2 linked regions of the Arabidopsis thaliana genome follow. The protein of the gene in region 2 purifies or fractionates together with the protein of the main gene of each other region. This does not show direct contact. Each region holds a gene or a part of one and is shown on either strand. Other genes may lie near its edges. The genes, in order: GME and SGT1B.

Region 1 (5,320 bases), on a different chromosome or scaffold from region 2:
TGATTTGGGCTCATTTGAGAAGCGACACGAAGAAGAGTGAGAGCAAGAGCAAAACCACAACAAAAAATTGGGTGATTGTTGAGTTGATGATTTGAAATATATCGATTGTCTTATTTTAGATGCATAAATGAATATTTGTAGTATGATGCTAACGTCAAAGATTTTTGAAAAAACACTGATAACATATATATTCAAAGAAGCTAACAATTGAGCCGAAAGTTGCTTAATTGTTTTGAGATTTTACTATGCTTTTCCTTTTGATTTAGTGGTTTTTTTCTTAGTTTTGGATTAAGTTTAAGCTTTATTTCCTTTGATATTATTTAAAATAATAAAAAAACATTATATGTTATGTTATAATAATATCGTCCTTATCTCATATTTGTTTTTTGATAAAATGTATATTCAAAATTTAAAATAGTAAATACGTTATTTTTCGGATCATCTCGAGTCTAAGACCAAATCTTAGAACATGGATAAAAATCTCAAATTTTAGATATTTTGCTGATCGGGAGAGTTGCATAAAAAAAGCAATATATAAACTTAAAACCTTATGATTTATTACGTGTGACATTTTTGACCGAGGAATGGGATAAAGAAGTGGATGGAAGAGAAAGAATGGTGAGTCACCGTGAGTGATCCCTAACCTCTAGAGATGTGTGAATAGATGATAAGATGCAAGAAAAAACACAAGCCACTTACTTGTACTGGTCCGTGAGAGGACCACGACATCAACTTGACTATGATGATAAACATACATACTGTGAATGAAAGGACCACAATAATATGATAACAGACTTAACAATGCAAGCAAACTTTTTCAACTAAACATAAACAAGGATTAGCAGAATAGAAGGAACCAAAATCCAAAACACTTATTATTGCTTTTTTAATAGGAAGCTACCTAAAAATATATCTAAACATTTTGCTGAACTTAAAAGGCCATATTTGAGCTTGACTTATACTTTGGTGAACTTCACTCTTTTCCATCAGCCGCGCGGAGTGAGCCTAGCTGAACCGGTGCTTGAGTTCCAACCACCTTTGATGACCCGTAAAGCGACACATCGCTTCCCTTTGCTTTCTCTTTCTCGATCTGTTCCTTTATCCAGAAGTAGGTTATTCTAAGCCCCTCCTGTTTAACGATTATGGTCAAAACAATATCAGTAATAAAAGAATTAGATTATTATCTTGTCTTTGAGCTACTTAAGTAAATAATGTTGGTACCTTCAATCTCATATTAGGAGCCCAACCAAGCTTTTCTTTGATCAGATTGTTGTCTGAGTTACGACCACGAACACCTTCCGGGCCAGGAATGTGGTGAATTGGAAGCTTCTTTTCCTCAAAGCTGAGAACCATCTCAGCCATCTCATTCATGCTCACCATCTCATCGCTTCCGATGTTCACCGGCTCACGGAAATCTGATTTTGTCAACCTATAAAACAAAAATGACGAAAATATCAGCCAATTACGTCTAACATACAACTTCATCAACATCAGGAGATACCCTCACCTGAGTACACCTTCAACACACTCATCGATAAAGGTAAAAGAACGGGTCTGAAGCCCATCTCCCCACATCTCAAACCTATCAGTGGAAGTCTGAGCCTTCCTACAGAAAGCAGCTGGAGCCTTCTCCCTTCCACCTAAGTTGATCCAAGCAAATATTAATCCCAATAGTAAACAACTAATCATTCACACAAAGTACGGAAACTGTTTATCTGTATACTACCTTTCCATGTTCCAAAAGGACCATAAATGTTATGGAACCTTCCAATTCGACACTCAATACCAAAATCTTTGTTGTAATGCTTACACAACTCCTCCGTAGCAAGCTTCTCCAAACCATAAGCATCTTGAGGCTATATCAGCATCAAAACATCACATAAGAAAAGACTCATAAATCTTTAGCAAGAACATATAAAAAATAATCACAAACCTCTGCAGGCCAAGCATCTGACTCCTTCAAGCTCACATTAGTAGTCTCCAACTGCTTAAACTCTGGATAGATACAAGCACTCGAAGCATAAAAGAACCTAAAGCAAACAAAAAATCCAATCTTTTTAACTTGTTTTAAGAAACCGTAAACTGCGAAAACCGAAGAAAACAAAATCTAACTAACCTCTTAATCCCATTGATCCTAGCAGCCTCAATCATATTGAAACTAATCATAGTATTATTATACATAATCACAGAGTGATTACTCTGGATAAAACCCATACCACCCATATCAGCAGCTAAGTTAAAAACATGATCAACTCCTTCAGTAACTTTGAGACAATTCTCCATAACCCTAAGATCAACAAGATGGAACTCATCACAGAACATGTCTTCAGTCATGTGTTCATTCTTTTTCCAGTCAGAAGCAATCACGTAATGACCTTCGTGCTTCAAACGACGAGCAATGTGAGATGCAATGAAACCTCCAGCTCCTGTTATTGATATCTTGAGATTCTCAGATGGCCAATATTGCTCTCTTTCTAGCTCCTTGTATGTGTATGCTCCATAGTCTGTTCCATTGGTAGTTCCCATTCTACATTAACAAAACAAATCTGTTAAAAACAATAAGATCTCTCATGCAAAAGCTAGACATCACTGTAGAGTCCTAATTTGTGATAAATTTCTATAAAAAAGATTTGGGATTTAGAGAGTTTTGACAGAGGTAAGATTATTGATGCATTGGATTCCGGCGTAAGTTAGCGAAAAACACAAAACTGCGAGGCGTAAGTTAGCCAAAAACACACAAAATTGCAAAACAAATCTGTTAAACACAATAAGATCTCTCATGCAAAAGCTAGAAATCACTGTAGAATCCTAATTTGTGATTAATTTCTGTAAAAAGATTTGGGATTTAGAGAGTTTTGACAGAGAATGCATTGGATTCGGTGTAAGTTAGTGAAAACACACAAAATTGCGACGCTTAAGTTAGCCAAAAACACACAAAATTGCAAAGAAATATGTTAAACACAATAAGATCTCTCATGCGAAAGCTAGAAATCACTGTGGAATCCTAATTTGTGATAAATTTCTGTAAAAAGATTTGGGATTTAGAGAGTTTTGACAGAGGATGCATTGGATTCGGCGTAAGTTAGCGAAAAACACAAAATTGCGAGGCGTAAATTAGCCAAAAACACAGAATTGCGAAATTCGGATCTCAGAGAAGTTTTGATTCAGGAATCTGGGATTTTAAAACCCTAGATTAGTGGAATTGTAAGGAAGATTGGATCTTTTACCTGAGGAAGGTTTTGGAGAGTTGGAGAGATCGAAGAGATAATGCAGAGAAGAGTCAGAGATTTGAGGAAGAGGAAGAGTAAACTTGTATTTATAGAGAGAGAACAGAAGAAGATGAAGAGGAAGATGGAGAGAGCAACACCACTCGTTGTTTTAGTTTTCCAACTCCTATTGGTATTTGTGCCTCTTTCTGTTAAATTTATTTTATAACTAATAAAATCCTTCGAAAAAAAAAATTAATACTTCTTTTGTAGAGAGTTTTTTAGAAAATAGGAGATTTTATAGAAGATTTATTACTTTTTATTAGGTTTGATGATTTATATTATGCATATTATTTTTACTATTTGTTGAATCGTATTTAGATAGATAATAAGAAATGTTTTAGTTTAGAAAAAAAAAAAAACTAAATATTTTCTTTATTGGTGCACCAAACAATTTCATAATTTTTTTATTTTCTAGCTTCAATATATAAAAATATTTGTAAATAATAAATATATGTATATTCTATATATTAATTGAGAAGTTTTTTTAATAAAATATTTATATTGGCGTGTTATTAACGAAACCGTCATGTTGTGATTCTAATCCATTTAAATAATTGTCCAAATTTTACTAGATTATTACAGATTTTTCAATTAGTCTTATTCATACATATATATAATACACATTAAAAGGAAATTCTTATAAAATTCAAATAATTAAGCAATTAATCTTTAAATAATTATTATTTTGAGAAAAATTACTTTAATTTTTGTTATTTTCTAATTAACTAAAACACTATTTAACATATTTTGTATTTGCAAATAATAGTACATCTTCATATATTAAGAAATGTGTTGTAATAAATTTTTATTAAATATATAATTATTTTGTTATTTTAGTGATATATACTGTATTGAATAATTATAATGTACACATAAAAATATAAAATATTATTTATGTTTGTTTATGACATAAGAGCAACCATAAGTCCATTTTTGGAGTTTGAAACTGAAGAGTAAATTAGAAAAAAAAATCTTAAATTAAAATATAATATAAGTTAGATTGATGTTAAAAATTATTTATATAGTTATAGTATATATATAACCTAAACTATATTAGTTGGTTGAAATATTTGAAATAATAATGATTTTAGTAGTATTTTAAAGTTCATAACAATCAAACGGTCGAACCGAGATCAAACTGATTCGAGTTAATGGTCAGGTAGATTTTTATTAAACTTGTAAACTATCAAACCGTATATAAAACCATTAAAATGATTAAATACGTTTGCGAGAAATATAAATATTTAGAGATAGGCGTAATTCTCATTCAATTTTATCATGTTCCATTATATCTTACTCGTTCTCCAATTTATTTCTCATAAGAGAATGCATTTCTAATATGAGAAAAAATTTGTATTCCGATTAGAAACAGAACGTGATGGAAGCAAAAATTCTCTATATCCTGTTTGGGACAAACACAAATATAATTCATGTATATTTTTATATGATATGATATAATAAAAATATTACAAAATTAATTGACTTCTTTCTTCTTATTGTTTAATATTTTGTTCATAAATATTAAATTACATTTGTTTATTTTTAAATTTTAACTATTATAAAGCATACTATAATAACATTTATTATTTTGAGCATTTTTATGCTGTATAAATTGAAAACACATGTTACATATTTGATTGCAAACGTTAATTTGCTTAAATTGTAACTTGTTGTAATCTAAAAGCTATGTTTTTATCCCGTGTTGGCTCCTTCTATGTCGTTCCTTTTTCGTCATTCCTATTCTCGTTATATTACATTAAATATCATGTTCCGAGTTCATTTTTACTTATCTTTAAACACAATACCAGATACAGCTGTAACTTTTGGGGATTAACATATGCTTTGTTAAAATTTGTAAACATACCATAAATTAAAACATGAAAACAAATTGAAAAAATAAATGATCTATCAACTATAATATGTCATACTCATACATTTGTTCTTGTGTACGTGCACATATATGAAAACAAAATTATATTTACTATTTAATATAAATAAATAAACACCGACTTGATATATTATCTCAAATCCAGAAATCCTCTTGTTGATAT
Region 2 (5,086 bases):
TATGACATAGTAAACAGCACAGCAGAACCACTACCATCCCACAGCACAAAAGTTTCAGAAATACTATCATCTTTATCACCTTCAATAGTTGATGTACTAGAGTAAAGTATCATTGCTTCTTTGAACAGAAAATTTGAAGAATGCGAATCATCAACAAAAGATATCTCTCCTATTGCCTCCTCGCGATTCAACAACCAAAAGACACACCTACTCTTCGAGAAAAACGCAACAAGATCCCCTCGAGTTATTACTGATACAGCAATTTCCCCTTCACTCAACCAGTTTCTAGACACTAGAGAGCCTTTGCTCGGTTCAGATTTCTCTGACACTGAGACCAACTGCAACCTACCAAACGAATCAGCCATAAGCAATGATTCCTGCTCATCTAACTGAACCACGCCCATAAAATTCAAACAACCAATAGATAAATTCCCATGGAAAACTGTATGAACAATAGTAAGAGTGTAAGTATCAACAACAACCACCGTGCATCTCGACTTCTGAAAATCAGTATCTGCTAAAGTCTCAGCCCCATCAACATCGATATAAGAACAACCAACACATACATATCTAGGCTCTGATGGCAAAGTAGACAAAATCGATGGACTTCCAACCCAAGGAGGTAATTTTCTTCGTTTCCTACACTGACCACTACTTCTACTCCATACACACAAGACACCATCAGTACAAGCACTGATCAATGCACAACAGTTAACAAATGGATCCGCATTACCATTATCTGATGCAACAACTCCATTACTTGAAAGTATTGTAGGATCACAAATAGCAAGATCCACTATTGGTGAAGTATGGCCACACAACATAGCAATCGGTTTAATCTCATGATGAGGGAGACGAGTTACAGAATTGGATTCGGAAGAAGAAGAGATGCTCCACCAGATGATTGACCCATCGGATCCACCGGTATAGAGAGTCGGTGGATTGGTTAGAGAGGCTGTGGCGGTGACCCGATGAGACGGAGGAGCACGAGACCATAGGCAGGCCACAGATCGGCACTTCATCGGCTTGAATCAAGCGGTACAAGCATCGACCGAGTCAGTGAACGAGTCGGGGTGAGAGAAGAAGGAAGAACGAACTGGTAAACGACGTCGTAACAGTAATCACGACAAATATATCTGTACATATTTAGATGGATTTTTCGAGGTTGCAAATAAATTTTTTAAGGTAAATATTTGGCAAAAGTTTGATAATTGATATTTTAACTTTACTAGATTATTATCAACTTAAAATACTTAAATCTGTGTATTGGACGACGGGTCCTAATCTAGTCAATATATAAATTATAACTTGTTAAAATATATCATAGTCTAAATTCACAAATCACATTGTATTTGCTAAACTATGAGTAAACGATTACGATATAAACAAAATGAGTAGAAAATGATTATTTTAAATTATTGTAGTTCTCTATAAATATCTTTACCATTAGTTTTCTTTCCTTTTTTCAGTATTATTCTTTTGTCAACTAATTTATTTGTTAAAAAATCTGGACTTATCAAGAATCAATCTTATGTTAAAAAATAAAATCAAAAGGAAATTAGAAAATAAAATAAAATCTAATTACCTTTTTGTTTTTGGTTATATGACCTAGTAGAGGTATTAAAACGTTCTTAAAAGAAAAAAAAAATCCCAAACACAGCAAAAAAAAAAAAAGCCTAGAGGAATAGAATCGGTCTCTTTCTCTATAATCTCTCTCTCTCTCTGACTTGTTTGTGTTCTCTCAAATCCTCTGATAAGAATCAATGGCCAAGGAATTAGCAGAGAAAGCTAAAGAAGCTTTTCTAGATGATGACTTCGATGTTGCTGTTGACTTATACTCCAAAGCCATTGACTTGGATCCCAATTGCGCCGCCTTCTTCGCCGATCGTGCTCAGGCCAACATCAAAATCGATAACTTCACTGGTATAAATATAACTCTCTTCCTTACCGTTAATATCATCGTTAAAGATTGAAACTTTATTAGATGTATTGCTTCGTTGACGCTTTTGGGGTTCTGGGTCTTGTTCTTTTGTCGTTACTTTAATTCGATCTGTTGATAGTGGAACAAAGTTTTGATTTTTGTTATTGGTTTGGTTTAGTTTTAGTTTTAGGGTTTCTTTTGTGAGGTTGTTGATTCGGATAAGAAAACTTATTTGAGTAATTGTAATTGTAGTTACTGTACTTTGATTGAATTGTTGTTGTTTGATGATTTGATTTGATATTTTATCTTTTTGTGGTTTCTATGAGCAGAAGCTGTTGTAGATGCGAACAAAGCCATTGAGTTGGAGCCAACGTTGGCAAAAGCCTATCTCAGAAAGGGGTATGATATTTTCACCATCTCTCTGTAGTGAATGATTTGATGTTATGTTCAAATTTGATTGGAATTATAATTCTATCTTCTGATTCTTTGCTACTGTGTTCGCAGCACTGCTTGTATGAAGCTAGAAGAATATAGTACTGCTAAAGCAGCCCTGGAAAAGGGAGCTTCTGTTGCACCGAATGAACCAAAGTTTAAGAAGATGATAGATGAATGCGATCTTCGTATTGCAGGTATGTTACATCAACTCCATAGCTTAAGAAATTAGTTACTAAACGATTTTGGGTATTTGTCTGCGCCTAGGGCTATAATTTTGATATAGTCTTTGTATCTCTGTTCAGAAGAAGAGAAAGATTTGGTTCAGCCGATGCCACCGAGTTTGCCTTCAAGCTCTACAACACCACTAGCAACGGAAGCTGATGCTCCTCCTGTTCCAATTCCTGCAGCACCTGCCAAACCGATGTTCAGGTAGTCTGGTTATCTAACATGTAAATTCTTCTTTAATTTCCAGAATCATTTTATACTCATAACTTTATTGCTCAACAGGCACGAGTTCTACCAGAAACCAGAAGAAGCGGTGGTGACAATTTTCGCCAAAAAAGTACCTAAGGAGAACGTAACTGTCGAGTTTGGTGAGCAGATTGTGAGTATCCTTCAATCAGAGAATTCATGACTTTTATCTGAACTTCAGAAACTATCTCTCTTTGTAATTTAACACTGTATTGATTTGAGATGTCTATCTTGGCTTTATTTTGGTGCAGCTGAGTGTTGTCATTGATGTTGCTGGAGAGGAAGCTTATCATCTCCAGCCGAGATTGTTCGGGAAGGTATATTTTATTTGACATATGTAATTACGGTGTTTTCACACACACTTTTACTAAATCCTTCTTCATGGGTGTTTTTCAGATAATACCAGAGAAGTGCAGATTTGAAGTATTGTCGACCAAAGTTGAGATCCGTCTTGCGAAAGCAGAGATAATCACCTGGGCCTCCCTTGAATATGGTAAAGGGCAAAGTGTTTTGCCCAAACCCAATGTCTCATCAGGTTTGTCTCAGAAGATACCAGCTTACGTTTACTATTTTATTCTGAACCACAATCGTAAAACCTTAAACAAACTGAACCCAAAGTGGTCTCTCTCTCTTCTCATTTGATTTTATGTGCATATGCAGCGCTGTCGCAGAGACCAGTGTACCCATCTTCTAAGCCAGCAAAAGACTGGGACAAGTTGGAAGCTGAAGTGAAGAAACAGGTTCCACAAACGCTAACTTCTCATCCTTAACACTAGAGGCTTTGCTGTACTTTGTTCTTTCTGCTTATCACTTTTGAATTTCGCAGGAGAAGGATGAGAAGCTTGATGGAGATGCAGCTATGAACAAATTTTTCAGCGACATATACTCGAGTGCAGATGAAGACATGAGGCGGGCAATGAACAAATCATTTGTGAGCAAATCTATCTTTGGTCTTTAAAATTTTGGTTTAATAACTCTGCTTTGTTCTTCGACTAATGAGATTTTCCTCTCGGGTGGTTTTTGGGTTTGACAGGCAGAGTCGAATGGGACGGTACTGTCGACAAACTGGAAAGAAGTTGGGACTAAGAAAGTGGAGAGCACTCCACCAGATGGCATGGAGCTCAAGAAGTGGGAGTATTGATCTTCTTAAAATCCCCTTTTCTGGTTTTTGTTAAAAAAAAGTCTGACAAATCTTTTGAACTTTTAAGGTGTTTTTCTTTTTTGGTTTCTGCTCGAATTTGTCTCTCTCCATTCTTGCGTTGTGGTCTCAAAGAACGTTCTGATACTTTGATTTTGTATTAGAAAACTAAAACTCGCAAGTCTGTTGTTTTGGAACTTTGTTCTTTTATCGAGAGGCTTATCTAAATATTTCTTGACATAATTGCATTGTGGTCTAAAAGGTTAGTTGTATAAGCCCAACTTTCTTTAGTTAAAACCGATGTGCATCTATATAGTGAGACAGTATTTTCACCTTTGGGGTTCCTGGTCTAGGAACACTGTTGTTGAATCCAAATCTTTCTTTCTTCTCAAATGCCTTAAGGATTTGAAATGAACATGTTAAGCTATCATCAACACTCATCAATGCACCAGCATTGTCAAACTCGCCACAGTAATTGGGTGCAGAGAATTTGTCTTCACGAAATCAGAGCTACTTTCCATCTTCATGTATATATTAGCTGATTCAGACAAGAAGGATACTAAGTTACAAGTTTGTTATAAGATGCAAGAGTAAAGGATTTCACTTTGCAGGTTGTATCAACCAATTGAAACAGTCTTGTCACCATAAGTGATTTTAGATTATAATTTGTTTCATGCAAGTTTTTGTGAAAGACTTTTATGGAAGTTCATATATATATATATATATATATATATAATACTAACTGAAATACCAACTTAAAAGTAAAAACAAAATCTCCACAAATGGATCTGTTTTACAGTTATAACAACACTGTAAAATAAAAAAAGACAGTAGCAGGAAGAATTCAGAAGCAAAAACAGCTTCAATCTCTCTCTGATCAGCTTCCTACTTATAAGTATTGACTGACTCTTAATGAAGCTTCAAAAAACAAATCCTTTTGGACAGATTTGTTAGCAGAGAAGTCTTGAGTTGTCAGAAAAACAATAGCTGTTAGGAATGTTGTGGAGAGGTGGCAGAGAAGATGTCTGTAGCAAACTGCTCCCATCATAGCTCGAAAACATATCTTGAGAGAAGCTAGTGTTACCATAAGGGAATTCATGTGGAACAGTGTTTGAGAGATT

What was found.
Region 1: the proteins of SGT1B (region 2) and GME fractionate together in Arabidopsis thaliana (co-fractionation; one large-scale study listed by BioGRID). This does not show direct contact.

The regions. Positions count from the first base shown.
Region 1 is NC_003076.8:10,861,499-10,866,818, forward strand, and holds GME (GDP-D-mannose 3',5'-epimerase), read right to left. Parts: upstream 3,449-5,320; 5' UTR 3,228-3,448; intron 2,547-3,227; exon of another isoform or gene 2,528-2,546; 5' UTR 2,527-2,527; coding exon 2,117-2,526; intron 2,031-2,116; coding exon 1,934-2,030; intron 1,857-1,933; coding exon 1,727-1,856; intron 1,641-1,726; coding exon 1,508-1,640; intron 1,430-1,507; coding exon 1,222-1,429; intron 1,130-1,221; coding exon 974-1,129; 3' UTR 518-973; downstream 1-517. UniProt on the Arabidopsis thaliana protein: Catalyzes a reversible epimerization of GDP-D-mannose that precedes the committed step in the biosynthesis of vitamin C (L-ascorbate), resulting in the hydrolysis of the highly energetic glycosyl-pyrophosphoryl linkage.
Region 2 is NC_003075.7:6,850,397-6,855,482, reverse strand, and holds SGT1B (phosphatase-like protein), read left to right. Parts: upstream 1-1,570; 5' UTR 1,571-1,763; coding exon 1,764-1,923; intron 1,924-2,250; coding exon 2,251-2,320; intron 2,321-2,425; coding exon 2,426-2,550; intron 2,551-2,658; coding exon 2,659-2,785; intron 2,786-2,863; coding exon 2,864-2,960; intron 2,961-3,078; coding exon 3,079-3,144; intron 3,145-3,223; coding exon 3,224-3,362; intron 3,363-3,487; coding exon 3,488-3,567; intron 3,568-3,653; coding exon 3,654-3,758; intron 3,759-3,860; coding exon 3,861-3,968; 3' UTR 3,969-4,299; downstream 4,300-5,086. Other genes in the region: AT4G11270 (Transducin/WD40 repeat-like superfamily protein), read right to left, coding at 1-1,022; AGL52 (AGAMOUS-like 52), read right to left, coding at 4,916-5,086.